5 linked regions of the Coturnix japonica genome follow. The protein of the gene in region 3 binds, or shares a complex with, the protein of the main gene of each other region. Links are inferred from orthologs where the notes say so. Each region holds a gene or a part of one and is shown on either strand. Other genes may lie near its edges.

The links. The genes of interacting proteins can lie anywhere in the genome.
Region 1: MORF4L1 (region 3) and BRD8 share a complex: the UniProt entries of both Homo sapiens proteins name them as parts of the nuA4 histone acetyltransferase complex. The link is inferred for Coturnix japonica from reciprocal best matches to the Homo sapiens genes MORF4L1 and BRD8.
Region 2: MORF4L1 (region 3) and EPC1 share a complex: the UniProt entries of both Homo sapiens proteins name them as parts of the nuA4 histone acetyltransferase complex. The link is inferred for Coturnix japonica from reciprocal best matches to the Homo sapiens genes MORF4L1 and EPC1.
Region 4: MORF4L1 (region 3) and MBTD1 share a complex: the UniProt entries of both Homo sapiens proteins name them as parts of the nuA4 histone acetyltransferase complex. The link is inferred for Coturnix japonica from reciprocal best matches to the Homo sapiens genes MORF4L1 and MBTD1.
Region 5: the proteins of MORF4L1 (region 3) and SIN3B are in contact, whole or in part, in a cryo-EM structure (PDB 8BPA), measured with the Homo sapiens proteins. The link is inferred for Coturnix japonica from reciprocal best matches to the Homo sapiens genes MORF4L1 and SIN3B. Residues at the interface, in NP_996670.1 of Homo sapiens: Gln217, Gln219, Tyr222, Ser348, Tyr350, Glu351, Val352, Ala353, Pro354, Pro355, Tyr357, His358; in NP_056075.1 of Homo sapiens: Cys394, Arg396, Arg402, Ala403, Pro405, Lys406, Thr407, Tyr408, Ser462, Phe463, Pro464.

What each region holds. Positions count from the first base shown.
Region 1 is NC_029528.1:11,890,451-11,893,061, forward strand, and holds part of BRD8 (bromodomain-containing protein 8), read left to right. Parts: intron 1-286; coding exon 287-379; intron 380-603; coding exon 604-672; intron 673-1,342; coding exon 1,343-1,520; intron 1,521-2,171; coding exon 2,172-2,276; intron 2,277-2,611. UniProt on the Homo sapiens protein: May act as a coactivator during transcriptional activation by hormone-activated nuclear receptors (NR). Isoform 2 stimulates transcriptional activation by AR/DHTR, ESR1/NR3A1, RXRA/NR2B1 and THRB/ERBA2.
Region 2 is NC_029517.1:12,814,581-12,818,080, forward strand, and holds part of EPC1 (enhancer of polycomb homolog 1), read left to right. Parts: intron 1-918; coding exon 919-1,064; intron 1,065-1,150; coding exon 1,151-1,357; intron 1,358-1,758; coding exon 1,759-1,907; intron 1,908-3,088; coding exon 3,089-3,248; intron 3,249-3,500. UniProt on the Homo sapiens protein: Component of the NuA4 histone acetyltransferase (HAT) complex, a multiprotein complex involved in transcriptional activation of select genes principally by acetylation of nucleosomal histones H4 and H2A.
Region 3 is NC_029525.1:17,841,149-17,844,648, forward strand, and holds part of MORF4L1 (mortality factor 4-like protein 1), read right to left. Parts: coding exon 3,442-3,500; intron 2,735-3,441; coding exon 2,654-2,734; intron 211-2,653; coding exon 148-210; intron 1-147. UniProt on the Homo sapiens protein: Component of the NuA4 histone acetyltransferase (HAT) complex which is involved in transcriptional activation of select genes principally by acetylation of nucleosomal histones H4 and H2A.
Region 4 is NC_029533.1:8,733,043-8,736,542, forward strand, and holds part of MBTD1 (MBT domain-containing protein 1), read left to right. Parts: intron 1-430; coding exon 431-508; intron 509-2,503; coding exon 2,504-2,622; 3' UTR 2,623-3,500. UniProt on the Homo sapiens protein: Chromatin reader component of the NuA4 histone acetyltransferase complex, a multiprotein complex involved in transcriptional activation of select genes principally by acetylation of nucleosomal histones H4 and H2A.
Region 5 is NC_029543.1:3,313,383-3,317,129, reverse strand, and holds the end of SIN3B (paired amphipathic helix protein Sin3b), read left to right. Parts: intron 1-58; coding exon 59-263; intron 264-640; coding exon 641-871; 3' UTR 872-3,247; downstream 3,248-3,747.

The DNA of each region.
Region 1 (2,611 bases), on a different chromosome or scaffold from region 3:
ACAGGTGCAAATCCCAGGCTGTTTCCTGGGGGGAGTGCAGGATTCTCATTTCTGTTTTGCTGAGTGGGTCCAGTGGGGGAATTTGTTGATGATTTGTCTGGCACTAGATTGTCCTTACTCAGAAGTGCAGGTGTTCAAACAGTGCTGTAGTGCCAGGTCCCATTTTTTATATTTCTCTCTGGCTTGGGTTACTGTAAGCATGACAAAGGCAAAATGAACCGTAAGGTTTCTGCGCCAGGGCAGTATGGAGATTCACAGAGGAAATCATATTCTGTTTTTTTCTCAGCTCAGTGTGCAGTGAGGATCAGGAAGCAATACAGGCTCAGAAGATCTGGAAGAAAGCCATCATGCTGGTTTGGAGAGCAGCGGCTAATCACAGGTGAGTTTGATGTCTTGAGAACTGGCAGAAAGAAGTGACTAATCTCAGGCAAGTCTGTACTTTCCCAGCTCTGAGGCTTTACCTGCCTTGTTATGGGGAGATGATGAATCACACTGTTAGTGATAGCAGACAAATAAACATGAGAGCATGACACAAGTATTTGAGAATTGTTCCTCTATTGGCAGGGGCAGGGCATTCACTGGAATCTCTCTCTATCTCTTTAGGTATGCCAATGTCTTCCTGCAGCCTGTGACTGACGATATAGCACCAGGCTACCACAGTATTGTGCAGAGGTGAGTCTCAGCATTCTTATGTGACAAGAACTCTGGTGTATTTGCGTAAGAATTTCTGCCAGGAAGAGTCTAGAGTTCATCCATTGTTCAGACTGCAAAACTTGAAAAATACCTTTCTTCTGACATCATTCATTGTATTTCCCTAAGAAAAAGGGACACCTTCAGTAACACATACAAGTCTGTACACAGCCCTGTCCTTGAATGAAATACAGATTTGACCAGAACATTTTTTTATCAGTGAAGTGGTATGTGACTATCAGCTTCTCTGTTATTGTCCAAGGGTTGAATTTAAGGTGTGATGTTCCCACAACCCGGATTCTTTAATCAGCTCTTTTATTGCCTCAGAAAGTCTAGATTATGGAAGAGTTACCAAAATGTGCCTAAATAGTCCAGTGGTTGTAGCTGTGGCTCCCTTGTGTCACACGGAATGCTTGGAGAAGGCAAATGCCTCTCTTGAGGCAGCTGTTACATGTACTTACCATTCCTGTTAACTGCTGAGCAGATTGTGTCTCCTGATCTGAAGCCTTGGAACTCAGGAATGCAGCCTATGTGGGAACATATTCTGCTAAATTAAATAGATGGTCTAATTAGATATGTTTTAGTCCTTAGACTGCAAATGAGAAAGGAGAGAGTTACATGTTTGCATTGCTATTTTGAATGTATTTCATAGGCCGATGGATTTATCTACCATCAAGAAGAACATTGAGAATGGACTGATACGAACCACAGCTGAGTTCCAGCGTGACATTATGCTGATGTTTCAAAATGCAGTTATGTACAATAGCTCTGACCACGATGTGTACCATATGGCTGTAGAGATGCAGCGAGATGTCCTGGAACAGATCCAGGTAAAGTACTGAGCTGAGGCTGTTTCAGAACAGAGTTGTCTGCATTGGTCCACAGGTACAGGAAAGACTTCTGGAAGTGAAAATGAAGTTTCACTCACAGTGTCTTCAAATGAATCCCCATCTTTGCCTGCTTGTACTAGCTTAGGTGTTTGTGGTGAACTGGATTGTTAAAACTAACACAGTGAGATGTTTGTTTGGCTTAGCCCAGACTAATTTCAAACCTGATTTCCTTTGGGGGTGCACATATGCTTAGGCCAGCAAGAACTGGGGTGTGGTTCAGGAACAGAAATGAGCAACAAGATCAGTGAATGACAAGGGACGCAGCTGCTGCTTTTGGTGACTGTCAGTCTGTGCTGGCTTGAGGCACATACAAAACTGTCCTGAGATTGTCCTTTGAATATGTATCATTAGAATTTCTTCTGAAGCAGAACGTCCCAGCTGCCAGGGCTGTCATAGTTTGAACTGGATTTTTATAGTCCCTCCAGACTTGTGGCTGCTGAGGTGAATGGGGAAACTTATTCTGAGCAGCAAACAAGGAACTGAAACTGTCTCTGACCCATTCGTTCCCAGCCCTGTGGTTTGTGATAGCTGACAAGCTTTAACTGAGCTTGTTTTGCTAGAGAATCTTAACAGAGTATGGTTTTCCTGCAGCAATTTCTGGCTACACAACTGATCATGCAAACGTCAGAGTCGGGGATCAGCGCAAAGAGCCTGCGTGGGCGAGACTCCACTCGCAAGCAAGATGCTTCAGAGAAGGTGAGAATGCTGCACCCTGCAGAAGGGCGGCTGGTGTCTTTTGGAGGATCTCAAGATACCACATAAAGTTCCAGTACCAAAGATGTGCAGAATGTGTTTTTAGATTGGAATAGGTCCTGCATCTTCATGTGAACAATTTACTGTTATTATGTTTCTTTAACTAAGTCCATTGATTAGACTTCAGCTCTGGGGATGTACATCAACCCAGAGATGGGTCTGAGAGTCATGAGTTATTTCTGCAATCCCTATGTTTCTGTCCGTGATTTCAAGAGCAAGTGATGAAAAGTGTTGTGAAATGAGGAAATATTGGAGGAAATATTGGAGGAGGTGTGGTA
Region 2 (3,500 bases), on a different chromosome or scaffold from region 3:
GTGTGTACATATGTGTAATTATGTGTTGATAACTGGCTTAATGTTAAGCTTCTCTGTCAGTCTGATCTTCAGTAATAAGCTGAAGTAGCAGCAGAACAGCATGCTCTAATAAGCAAATGGAGAGACTAATACCAGGAGTCTTATGTGCTGATACCAAGGTGCAGTTTTTGACTCTTCCTTTTCTTCTGGTGGTCTCTCAGTTGCTATGACAACATTCAGCTGCATCTTTTAAAAGCCAGTGATGCTTTTCACAGTGTGGAATGAATCCTTAAGAAATTAGTATTCTTGGGAACCAAAGCAGTTGGCATGAAACTGAGATCCAGGGATGTGCTGGATGCTGAATGTTGTATTTTCAGAGGATGTTGTGGAAAACTGAACAGCTTGTTCTGCTATACGTGATTTATATTTGAAGGTCCCTTGCTACAATGCATACATAGGAGATGCTGTTGGACGAGTTTGGTCTGACACCTTTTTTATCACAAGTCATTGTGATTTGTGAGGTCTCTGTTACGCTGTGCACGTAGTTCTCTAGGAGCTTCTTAATGCATTTAAGCTGGAGTCTTAACTTCTGACATGAATGCTACAACATGGACAGTTATGGAACATGAGATGGTGGAAGGTTTGACCAATCCAGCTGATTCTCACTGGATCTAATGGGGATGAATACCTATATATATCTATATAGAGACACTGTAAAGTTTTCATTAGTTAAAATGAGCATGTTTATGTAGATATCAGTGTCTATCTTTGATATTTCAATAGAAAGGCAGATGCTACTTCTGAGTAGTGTTAGCACAGTGTGCAAACATCATTTTGGTTTTGTCTTCAGAAGAATCTGGCACGTATTGCAGACACTGCTGTTAGAACAGAACGTTTCTGTAGTAGATCAGTGACTTGAGCTTGAATTGTATCATTCAGCTTTTAGTTTGGACGCTGAGCAGCCGGATTATGACATGGATTCAGAAGATGAGGTCTTTGTCAATAAGTTGAAGAAAAGGATGGATATCTCTCCTTTGCAATTTGAAGAGATGATAGACCGACTAGAGAAGGGCAGCGGCCAGCAGGTATGGGGTTGCTTTGAATAAAGAATTCTGAAATACGCTTTGTCTGTGATGCCTTATGACAATGACATACTGGGTTTTACATTTAGCCAGTCAGCCTGCAAGAGGCCAAGCTGTTGCTGAAAGAAGACGATGAATTGATCAGAGAAGTATACGAGTACTGGATTAAAAAGAGGAAAAACTGTCGAGGGCCCTCTCTTATCCCAGCGGTGAAACAAGAGAAGCGAGATGGCTCCAGCACAAATGATCCTTACGTTGCTTTTAGGAGACGAACAGAAAAGATGCAGACAAGGAAAGTAAGTAGATTAATACTTCCCTGTTACTTGTTTCCTCTTCTTTCTCCTCCCTCTCATAAGAGCTTATCTGAAGAGACAAACTTGCTACGTAGTGTAAAACAATACAAGATGCCTTTTTGTGTTTTTTCTCTTTTAATTTGTAAGGGGGGGGATGGAAAAAAAGATGAAGCACTTGAGACCAGTTACTGAAGGAAGTTTGTATTCAGTATTTATTTTCTCTCTAAATTGGCTGCTAAACCTACTTGTGATGGTAGAAAGCTGTAGCTGATTGGTAGATGCACACGTTTCTCTAAATTTGTTTTAGCACATGTTTTAAAAGAACTGAACACTTACAGTTTAGTTTAGTTCAGGTTATGTTATTTAAATGATGTGGGAAAACATGAACCACTTTGCCTCTACAGAATCGAAAAAATGATGAAGCGTCCTATGAGAAGATGCTTAAACTGCGGCGAGACCTGAGCCGTGCAGTAACCATCCTGGAGATGATAAAGAGGAGGGAAAAGAGCAAGAGGGAATTGCTGCATTTAACACTGGAAATTATCGAAAAGAGGTAATGGTTATTGCAGATGTGCTGCAGAAAGCTTCAGAAACTGCTATAGATGTCAGCTCCTATGAATGTTTTATATAATATGCGATATTGTCTTAGCAAAGAGATTTGCATTTTGCTTTGTTAACAATATGGCATATTCTATTCTCTTTTATGACACTGAAGAGCAGAATTGAATTTAGGGAGTTACTGAAAAAAAAGCAGGCTGCTTTTTCAAAATGGGTATCGCTAATGTGCTTTGTTCTATTACGTGTGTGTTAAAACATAATTATCTTACGTCCTGTGTATTATGTAGTAAGGAAGACTATAGCTTCAGGTAAATTCCTATGGAAATGTTAAACTTAATAACTGTGTAGATGAGGGAATATCCTGTCAAAGAAAACAAGCATTTCATTCAGCACAATGTACTGTTCTGGGAGTTGTTTCCAACTTGTTTCTGTTGACATCCTGTTCAACAGCTGTGCAGAGACCAAATGCTCCACTTTGTCAGTTGTCACTTTCCCAATGAGTTGAGAATCACATTTGAGATGTAGGGTTGGTTGTTTAGCAGTTGATATTTAGAATCTGAATGGACTTCTCAGATCTAAGCATCCATGTTTGAAAACTTAAAACATTTTGAGTCAGTGCTGTAAGGCTCTAAAACAAAACAGCTTGTGATTTAGTTTGAGATCTTGGGAACACGAGCTGAGTGTCTCAGTCCTTTCTAACAGGTGCTCTTTTTTAAGCACTGACCATGCCCAGTAGAGAGACGCACTGGCTTTTCTAAGCAGGTGAACTCTTGAAGGCTAAAATGACTAAAAAAATCCAGACCATCAAATTAGCACAGATCTTGAAATGCAATATGTTTCATGGTTCTACATCTTACAAAGCTGTGCTGTTGCACAGAGGGGATTTGTGCACAAGGCTCTGCCTCTCTGTAGAACCCTTTGCATTATGTTATGTTGGGTGTATTACAGATGGTTCCCCTTGTCAGAACTGGGCATGGCAGAAAAAATCTGCGTGCTGTTGGTCTCCTGCAATAGTCATTTTTGAACTTGTTGCTGACATCTTGGAAGTCCTTCTTACCCCAAATGGGAAGTGCTGTTACTCTGTGTTTAACTGTTGCATGTTGTTCTGTGTTTTTACCAGACAAGCACTAGCAATATTTAAAGCAGTCTTGTTCTTTTACACTTTTTAAATTACAGGTATAATTTGGGTGATTACAGTGGAGAGATTGTGTCTGAGGTCATGGCACAGCGGCAGCCAATGAAACCTACTTACGCTATTCCCATCATTCCTGTGACTAACAGCAGTCCTTTCAAACATCAAGAAACGATGGAACTGAAAGAATATAAAGTTAACAAAGTGAGTAATGGCAGTAACAGAGTCGTTAGGTGCTGTGACTTGAGCAAACTGCAGCATTTTAGGATATAGCTACAGAAAATGTGCTTGATTGGGTGTTCTGTGTGGGATGGCAGTAGAACAAATGGTGCTTAATTCCAACTTACAGTTTAAACATTCCAGTTAATAGCTGTGAGATAGAAATATTCTTGAGAGGTCTGCTTGTGTCACTATTAAGATGCTGGAGTGGTGATGTTACTCTTTAGTTTGCTTAAT
Region 3 (3,500 bases):
AGCACTTAGAATTGTTAAGTCAATTGCTACCAAAGCTTACATTATTACAACTGAAGACTTTAAGAGTCTCTAAAAGAAATCTATGAAAGCAAGGAGGTTTGGATTTCAGGATGAAAATCCTGGTTTGACAATCCATCCTTAACTCACCGCGTCGATATGGTAGGGGTCTCCAAACAGCAAACAGTATGCGCTCCATCTCGTCTGAAAAATCTAGGCACAATGGGGGTTGAGTTAAGGAAAGAATGTCAGACCCAGCGCTCAGCCTTTACGAGAATCTATTTCAGATTCAAAAATGTACCTTCTTAGCAGCATGTTATAGATTTACTGAGCATTCCTGGAGGATAAGTTGTTCTTACACTATTATCTCCTTTTCACTACTGTTTGGCTGAGGAATAAATTACATGATGCAAGTTCTCTCCCCTTGTTCAATCCTCCAAGAATGCTACAAAAGGTAACTTTTGAGGCCAATTCGGTAGACAGCATTACCCTCTTAGAATATTTGCTCAATTGGTTGCTCCCCCTCCCACCACCATCATTTCATGTACCTGCAAAGACCTTAGATTTACAGCAGAATAATCCAGGTTTTTCAAACTATTTGCAGATGTTTTGGTTTTCAGAAGCCATCTTGCATTTAGTTGTAAGCAGAACACAAGCAGCAGTAGCCCATTCAATAACACAACAGCATTACAACTTTGTATCACTGCTAGGTTAGATCAAAGCATTGCCTCTCCCTCAGCCTTCAGGTCAGGAAGAAAAATAGGGAGACCTTAATGGAAGAACCAGAGGTCTAATTTAGAAGGATGCCGGTAATAGCTAGAGACTAGGAGCAAGATCAGTGCAACAAGCATGAGGCCCTGTTATCTTTCACATCAGAAGACTGCTGTTCCAGTGACCAGAGTTTTCCTTCCTCCCCCTCACTACATTAATAATCCACTGTTTAGAAATTAATTTTTCCAACCACCAAGAAGAGCTTCAGAGTTAGTTTACTGCATGTTTTTCTACACAAGGAACAATCCCTCATGCTTACTATAAGTGACGATAGCAAAAAGCAAAGCCACTCCCTTCAGCCAACTGGTTTCAATTGGAGAGTAAAGACAGACCTGGTAACGTGCTTTTGAGCTTTGGAATTGAACAGAAGTTTAAGATGAAGTCCATTTTGCTGTGCCAGTCTACCTTAGATATAGATTATACATGGTTGAGAGAATTAAGACTACTTTGAATTCTATGCAGTTCTAGTGTAGGTTAGCATTTAGCATTTTCTCAGCTGGAAAGAGCAAGCTAACCCACTGCAATCAGCCTGCGCCTCTAACATTACCAAAACTGGTAGTAAAGGGAATCTAGTCCTGAAGGAACTGTTGAGACATTCTCTGCAAGGCATTTGGTAGAGTCACGAAAAACATTTTCAGTTGAGCCATCACTACCTATTTTAAAGAATTAATTCTACTTCCAGAGGCTAAAATACAAATAGACTCAAGTGCAACAACCTCTCAATTAGCCCCATTAGTAATTGTCGCAATTTAGATGCTTTGATTAGTTTATAATGACATGCGTTAAGAACTCTGTAGAGGCCCATCCCAAGCTGAGAAAGCACACAAAACCAGTGTAGCTAAGGCACCTCACAATCTGCAGCAGTAGAACAAGGGATTTTGTATGTAGCACTGTGACCAGATCCATGTGAAACTCCATTCCAAAGACCAAGATACAATTTACAGCCTTGGGTAGAGTTTGGCCAACTCCACAGCTAAATCTACACTCAGGATCAACAGCAACAAGGCCTTCATCCACTGCCACCACACTTCTCAAACCAATGAAACATTTTGTAACACAAAGATGCCCCTAAAAGAGGCATGAAACATGAGCCAATTTCTCCTAGGAAATGATGCCATCTCAGCAGCTCCCTCACAAAGATGAGAATCACAAATGAAGTCAGGAGTTCAAAACATCACATCGGTAACGAGCACCTACATAATTAAATCAGTACTGGTCCAGCAGAGGAGTTTCATGGCACATAAGCAAAGCAGAACTGTACTGACTGTTTAAGAACCTAAGTGTAAGGCCATACATCTTATTGTGAAAAAAACAAAAAAGATGAAATGAAAGAAAACTGAAAGTTACATTTTGTGTTTTTTCTCCTAACGAACATCTGAGCTTGCTTCTGGTCTCTTCAGGTGCAAAAATGTTTTAACAGCATACGTGTTCAGATTTGGCAAAAAAGACAGCAAAATAAAGGCTTCCTAAAGGCAATTTTTAAATTGCACAGTAAGAGGGCAAGGCATTTTAAGGACTTTTTTCTGCATCAGTGCTTGGGCTCCATAGAAGAACTAAAAAATTCTGCTCAATTTCACTGAGATAAACAAGAAAACTTACCAGATCTGAGTGCCAATTCACTAACTTGAGGGAAATAGTATTCAAAAGAACTATAAAATTAACATCCAACCTATTCAGTACCTTGATTCATTATTAAACATTGTTCCATCTTAGAAAATGGTTTTAATACAGTACTGCAACAAAGGCCTTTCAGATACCACAAAAGTAAACCTCTGTACAGGTTGTGTCAGGAGTAATAGAATGGAGGTTAAACTGTAAGAAAATACCATTCAAAGATCAGTAGAATGACTTATAAGCAACAGTTTTTAAATAAAAAGCCTCTTACACTTCAACATTTTTCTGCTGCAGACCAGATGTCTTCTTGCCTGGAGCAGCACCTCTCATCTTCCCCTCTGCATATTGTTCCCTTTGAAAAGAATAAATTTGGCAATAAGTCTAACTGAAAAAGAAGCATGTTTTCCCTCAAAAGGTCAACAGTTACACAAACATTTAGAGAACAGATAGCAAATAATTCAGAAGAACAAATCTACTAAATAGCAAGATGATTTTAGGCTTATACATATAACAAACCCTTCAAGGTATAACCTCCCATTTACACCTCCTCCCACAATCCTTGTTATTCAGTGACCAGGAAGCAACAGCAAACCACTGCTATAAAAAGTAAGATACGATACGAAGAAAAGGCTGTTTAGGACCAAGTCCAGAAAGTTTTTAAGTGTTTCCTAGGAAGACTGACCTCACTGCTTAGAAGTACATTGTAAGGATACTGCAGGAGGGTTGTTTTTAGTCTCCTCACTCCCGCATTATATAACATGTTTCCAGTTAGTCACTGTGCCTGCCTATCTCATTGTCCTTCTCTTCATTAAAATCTCAAGTCAGTTTTAAAACTAAGGAGCAGTTCACTCTTTAAGCTTCTGGAGCACAAAGACCAGCCCCCCGCCCCCCCAAGTCAAAGCACCTCAAGAATAAAAAGACAAATGCATACTTCTTGAAGGTGTTTGTTGAGTTTTTTTGTTGTGAACTTACCAACCTCCTTTGATATACTGCAGTTGGATTGAAGCTCCAGAGAACAAGTGATTCTGCTGAGAACAACTTCTAAGACAAAATACTTACTGATTGGCTTTTTGAAGTTCTTTTTGTTTCTGCAAATTGGTATCCACGTATTTGAGCAC
Region 4 (3,500 bases), on a different chromosome or scaffold from region 3:
AGTTCACTGTTTTGTTGCCAGAAGATGCTTATTTGATGTAAGGGGAAAAAAAAGCCTGTATTAATTATGGAACAAGTCTGGAGAGAGAATTTGTAGTGATTGAAGTTAGCAAATAGATCTGCTTTGCATGCTGAATGGGATGGACCTCGGCATGTGCTTGGCTATTGCTGTGCAAAAGTGTTGGTGTGAGAAGACTTCATTCAGTACATGAGAACTTGGCCTGTTAGGTCAGTTTTTGTGGTAATTAATAACGGTTTCATGAATATTAGTTGCATAATTGGAAGGTGGTAGGAAGAGTAACACTAGTGCTGTTAGTAGTACTGACCAGTGATAGTAGTTTGATTGTAGTTTCTCAAAAAAGCTTTGTCGTGTTCTGAAGTGTGTTTCCAAAATAGTCAACTTTAATTTTGTACTCCACGCTTTTTTGCAGCATCAAGAGATAACCAGTCAAGTTCATCAAAACAGAAGAAAAAATCAAAATCACAACAGTACAAAGGACATAAGAAAAGTGGGTGACAAAACAGTGTTTGCAATTTCCCTGTTGCTTAAAAAGCTGTAGTCTCTCCCTAAGTCTCTCTTCTACTTGAAGTGCTGTTTGTATGTAAAACAGGTGTTAGGCTTAAAGGTGCAGTATGCCATAAAAGGAATTTTAGGAATAACAAGACAATATCTGTTGTTTTTTTTTTAATAACTTGCAGCAGGGTCGATCTCATTAGCAGAATGTGAGCTTTAGGTTAATACGTTAATATTGCTGGAATTCAGATCTTAATGTAAAGAGTGCATTGAGTAAGTTGGAACAGCACCTTACACCAAACTCTCAGACGCCTGAGCAAAAGGTGGCTTGTTCTTCATTGAGAAGCAGCATGTAAATAAAACTACTTTGGCGACTGTTGGAGACAAATAATAGCATTGCTTTTTGTGACCTTTTGTTGCAGGGGAGGCATCATAGTTACTACTCTTAAAAATCTGAGCTTTCTGACAGCTCCGTTCAGATTCTTCCCATAGTAATTGTTCATCTCAGAATCAGTTTTTCTCAAATCTCAAGCAATCAGAGTTTAGATTTGCACAAGTGCATATTTTGCACTCTTCCATCCGCATACTTTTGTGACGCTGTCTGTGACCTCATTCAAGGCAACCCAACTATATTTGTTATTTTTGGAGCATCAGCTCACTCTGCTGACTCATTCTCTTGGTGCTGTCTTGGAAGAGTGGAGTGCAAAGTTGCAGTACTTTGTGCTGCCAACACAAGGACAGATCAGCTACAGCAAAGGTCTATAATGTGTTGTCTTGATTTAGCAATTTGCTTTGCTTCTGTGCCAATCTATTTTCTAATGGGGCAGCCTAGCAAGCCATAAAATCAATGTCTTGGATGCTGAAAGTTACCTTAAGTGCAAGTCAGCAAGACTGGATGACAGAAATCTGTAACTGTCCTTTAATATGACTTTAGGAGAGGTTTTTTTATACAAAATCCTGTTCTAAGAAAGAACATGAGGCTTTTCTTACCATTAGAATCCATACGATCTTGACTATCTAAGGACAAGACTTTTGTCAGACAGTGCTGGGAGCATGTAAGCATTACCAGCTTCAGCGTTGATGTAGCTGAAAGTGGTGGAGACGGTATTCAACTGCTTGTGTTCCTGATGTGCTGTAATGAGAGGTTTCCTCCTACCAGAATCAGAGCATCAGCCTGTTGGGTTGATGTATCAAATGTGCAGTTTTGAATCTGAGTGTGAACAAGCAGAAATGAAGGGAAGAATTCAGCAGTAATACTGAGGAAGTATATAAAAATGCTGAGCTTGCTGAAGGCTGCTGTGTGCAATTAATCAGTCCTTGGTTATAGAAGGCTGCAGCAAAGATCTGGTAACTTTTGCTGTCCTTTTCCTAATCTGTTTCCTAATCTGCATGGCAATATAGAGCTGCACAGGTGATCTCTGGTACAGTGCAGTGCTGTGATCTGACAGGCTGATAGATTTAGCTTCACATTTGCTCAATTTGCACTTGTTTAAAACTTCCTTGAATGTGATGAGGGAATAATCAAATGGCTTGTGAGGTGCAGCAGGGCTCCAAGTACTAATGGGAGGTTATGGACTTCATTCTTAGCTTTATTCCATTATATTTCTGTATTTGAAGATATGTTGCTGTGTGTGTAAATGTTGTATTTGGTATCCATAGGCTTTAGTAGTCTTTTCATTCTGAGAGATCTGTTTATTTTTGTGTGATCAAGCCCTAAATGTGGGTACTGCACCTTTAAAGGAAATGCTGGTCTGCCTCATTTATTTTCCCTCTGCTCATATTTTAGTAATTATCGTTGTCCATTAACAAAATGGGAAAGCAGTTGTGCCATTATTGCTGTTTTCTGTGTGATGCTGTACATTAAAAGAAGAATCTCTACAATGGGAAATCTGGGGTCTGTTCCCAATTGAAATCATGTAAAGTAAACTGAGGGGTGAGTTGTGCTTACTGTGGATGTTACAGATCCTTACTGTTCATCTTTCATTTCTAGTGACTTCACTGCAGCTGAAGGAGGAGATGCTGGATGGGGAGGAGTACAGCTTCCTGCAAGGAGCCTCTGATCAGGAGAGCAACGGATCTGCCAGCTACTACATAAAGCAAGAACCATAAGGCAGCTCGGGAAAGTGAGGGCATGGGATTGGTGACAGGAAAAGAGCCTTTCTCCGAGACTGACTGGTTTTGTTCCCACTTTATGGTGCAGCGCGGATGGCTGCGCCGGGGGCACTTTGCTACCTGCAGAGTTTGACTCAGTTCAGAAATCTTTTAGAAGGGCGGGGAAACTATTTTAGTGAAAAAAAAGATTTTTTCAATTTATTAAAAAGGAGAACGGACACTTTTTGTGTTGTATTTGAAGCTTTTGCAAGAGTTTTGTAATATTTTCAAGTTCAGATCTATTGTGCATTGTTAACAAGAACTGAGAATCTAATTTTTTTGGTAAGATGAAAGTTTAAATAGCATGATGGTGGAAGCGCTTGGAGGAAGATGTAGTTGCAAATACAAATGAACTGTCACGACAAGTGAACCTTGTTGGTACAAATTGGGAGATACTTAAAACTCTTGTGAACTGCACCGGTCACACCTCTGTTCATTTTGAATTGTGAAAGAAGGCGTTTGAGCCCTGATGTGAAGGCGCAGATGGTAGGAGGAGGATCGCCCTGTAAAGCTCTACTTGGTGAGTAGCCCCAGTTGCAGTGGAGCCATCACCTGGGGGAGGTTGTTTTTTTTTAACCTTTTCAATATGTTTCTATTTAGTTTAAAATGTTTTTTTTATATGATGCTTTTTTTAATTGAAATACGTAGTTCCTTAGGGTCTGAATCAGTGCCCAGTAATATCGGTAGCCTTGTGTTCGTCAGCTGCAGTGGGCACTGGATTGGGACTACAGCTCTTTTGTCTCTACGTGGATATCTGTTGTCTTGGAACGCTCCAGCAAATGTTTACAGAGCCCTGTCTGCCAAACTGGAACTTCAGAAAATTCCCTGCTTTGGAG
Region 5 (3,747 bases), on a different chromosome or scaffold from region 3:
AAAAAGAGAGTGGGTAAACACGTGTGACAAATGCTTCATAATCTTTGTTTCGTTCCAGAAACCTAAAGAAATTTCGCAAGTGGCAATGTAAGCAAGTGAGAGCTCTGCGGAGTGAGGTGAAGAGCTCCTGGAAGAGACTGATTGGGGTTGAGAGCGCGTGCAATGTGGACTGTCGGTTCAAGCTCAACACCCACAAAATGATGTTCATCATGAACTCAGAGGATTACATGTACAGGCGGGGAGCGCTCTGCCGAGCCAAGCAGGTGCATCTCCTGTTACTCTCTCAGTAGCTTAGACTATAGCAGAGATAGAAGATTGCAGCCAAAAGACAGGTATTGATAAGAAGTCTTGCAGCTGAATTTCTGCAAACTGCATCCAGAAGTTACTCCTCTGCATCGGATGAAACAAGGAAGAAAGATGGGAAATGTTCTGTGCTTTAGTTTAGTTCAGCAGGTTTTTCTTTGCAAATTTTAAAGGGGAGTGGCAAACATTAAGAAATAGAGATCCTTAAAGGCAGCTGTGTGGCTTTTCTGTTTGTATTGTGTTGTATAGCATGCCTGTCTTGGACATACAAAGAGGTGGAAGTTTTGACTTCTTGCCCAGAAACCTCTCAGTGATTTTTTTACTTTTCTGCTTTCAGGTACAGCCAATGGTGCTGTTAAAGCACCACCAGCAGTTTGAAGAGTGGCACAACAGATGGCTTGAAGAGAATGTGACCATGGAGGCAGTAGATGTAGTTCAAGATTGGCTAATGGGAGATGAAGATGAGGAGATGGTGCCCTGTAAAACAACTTGTGAGACAGTGAATGTCCATGGAGTCCCTGTGAACAGATACAGAGTGCAGTACAGTCGCCATCCAGCTTCACCTTGAGGAAATTTGTGCCTGGGACTTGCTGGTGAAACACATTTACTCTGAGAATAGTGGTGGGAATGCAATGTAATGTATTAATGGTATTTATCCAAACAGCATTTTACTTTGGATTATAACGTATTTTCCATATGGCCTAGACTTGTCTCCTTGCAGTGTAATCCTCCAGTCATCATGAAGAGACCGAACAGCTTTAAGGAAGAGGGCTCTTGGCATTGCCACACACTTTTTAGTAGTTTCCTAGCCTTAAGCCACTGCTGGCCAGCCAACACAGGAAGGCAGAACGAGTGGGCTGGGCTCCTGGTGATCTGCCACTGGTGGCTTTGTTGGACAGGAGTTGGCTGGTGCTTGGCAAATGCTGGCAGCTGCTTCCACTTTTCAGAAGTTTAATGTGCCCTATCTTCCTGAATTTGTGCCGTCTTGAAGCCTGCAGAACTCTTCAGTGTAACCTCCAAGTGCCAGCGTGGCACTGATTGCCAGCCTTGCTGCAGGCTGCTTCGTTATCTGCGTGTACTAATAAGGCAACAAATGCAGTGTTTGTTACTGGTGCTCCGGTGAGAAAATGTTGAAAGTGAGGCAGAGGTGAACAGCATACTGATCACTCTTAACTCCTGCTCACCAACTGAGTATTCTGGAGTGGGAACTAAGGGGAAGAATCTCTGTGAGCTGCAGTGCTGGGGAGGAGCCAAGGCCCACGGTCTGTCTGCCCCTCTCATTGCTCTGAGAATTTGTGACCTGCTGCAGAGTGCTGTCTCCGATCTGAAGCTGCTTGGAGCGTGTGTGTGGAGAAGGATATCCACTGCGAGGTCTGGTCTGATTATTTTTGGTATGTTGCATGCTGACTGGCAGCCCCTGGAGACTGCAAACTCTTCCTTGTGTGTGCCCAGATTCTGCGGTTCTGCTGGGTTGTACCACTTAAATAACGGCAGTAGATGGAGCTCTTGCAGCACAGTGTTTGCTCTGGATCTGAAGTTTTGTCCCAGATATTCTGCTGTTCCTGTTAGGTCAGTGCAGATGCTGTGTTTGCAGTGACACACGGAAGTCTGTAATGGGGAGGATTAGATCCAGCCACAACCACTGAAGCTTTTCCACCAAACCCTCCTTACTTCTACCCAAGCTTTATTGAATAGAAGCAAAGCAAAATGTAACCTGAACCGTGCAGAAAACTGCATCAACTGTCAGACTAAACCTGTTGAAAAATCAAGGAAATTCAGCTGTGTCTGTCCTGCAGCCCCACTGTGACTTTGCTGTTGTTTTTGGGGGCCAAAGGCAAGCACTCTCATGGAGCATATGACAAACATAATGTGTTGAGGCAGGTCCAGCCTCTTTCAGCTCAACCTCCAGCTTTTCATGGCTCTTAAGGGAATAACCCCCCAACCTGGATACTTTTTTTGTGGCTTTGATTTTAGGTTATAATTTCAGCGAAACCTAAATAGCAGCCTGTAGGATTTGTCCTGGGTTATTTCCACTGTACAGCGTTGGGTTTTGCAATTGTCTCACTTGACCGTAGAAAAATTGGCCTTTGGGGTATGTTTAATACAAAACTGTACTGACTCTTTGTCTTTTTTGCAAATTAATCTGTGGGAGGGAATGAAGGAGGCCACTCTTTGGCATTTGTGGCCACTTGCACAACCACTGCCAGTGCAGAACTTCTCTTCGTGTTCTCATTGAGTGTCTGTTGAATTCTGGTTACTGAAATGAGCTCCGAGGTTCCTCCCCCTGTCCACATAGATATGGGAGGGCGAGGTGGAGAGGGGGATCGAGCCCAGTGCAAAGCACAGTAACCCTTTCTCTTCCAGTCAGCTTAACAGAATACACCTCAGTCCTGTTCACCTCTCTGCTGTCTTCCAGTGGAGATGATAACTGTGCCAAATTTTATGGTTTTATGATACAGAAAAATGTTTACTAGACAATAGGTTGCAACTCGTGGCTTAAAATGCATTTGATTCCAGGTGTCCCATGAGGGTAACACACCTGTGTGCCATCCTGTTCCATCTCCCCATTTTTTAAGTGTACTTCAGGTATTTTTAAGCATCCTTATTTTGTAAACTTCTAATTTATGATCTTGAACAGATTACGACAGACTGTGGCCCTTCGTAGTGCTGTTGTCTCAAAAACAGTGGTAGCAAATGATGTGAAGTGATGGGATAAGTGGGCAGTGCAGGTCTGAGAGTGCTTTGCTGATGTCTGAGAGTTTAAGCTCAGCTGTTGTACCTGCAAGCACCACCTCGAATCAAGAGTTTGTTCTTCCATCTTTTTGAAGGATCTTTGCTTTTGGGCTTATAATTGCTTTGCCAGCTCTTTGAATGTAGTTTGTTTGTTGTTTTTTTAATATTTATTTGCACATCCAAGTCAAATAAAATACTGATTTTAAAAGTCTGCAGGTCTCACTGTTCTAAATGGGTTTAAGATTTCATTTATGCCTTCTGATAACCCCCAGAACTGACTGTCATGTGCTTGAAACTCAATTTTCAATGGTAGAAAAATGCAGCTGGAACTTCCTATACACCACTTTCTGTCCATTTCCCCTTGTCCTGTCTCCACACACTGCTGAAAAGAGTCTAGTCTCCCCACTTTGACCCCCCCCCCCCCACCTCAGATATTCATAGACCTGGATCAGGTCCTCTCTCAGTCTTCTTTTCTCAAGGCTAAGCAGACACAGTTCACTCAGCCTTTCAGCTCTGTGTTGGTTTGTTCCTAGCAGCACCTTTGCCATGAGAGGTGTGCAAAACCGAGGTCCAGACCCAGCTTCAGCTACTCGTGTGCTCCACACAACAGCCCTTGGAGTGCACGATTCCAGTTCCAAAACCCATCAGCACATCTGCTCCAGGTTAAAGCTGTACAAATGCAACCACAAAAATAACCCCCACCCGCCTTCC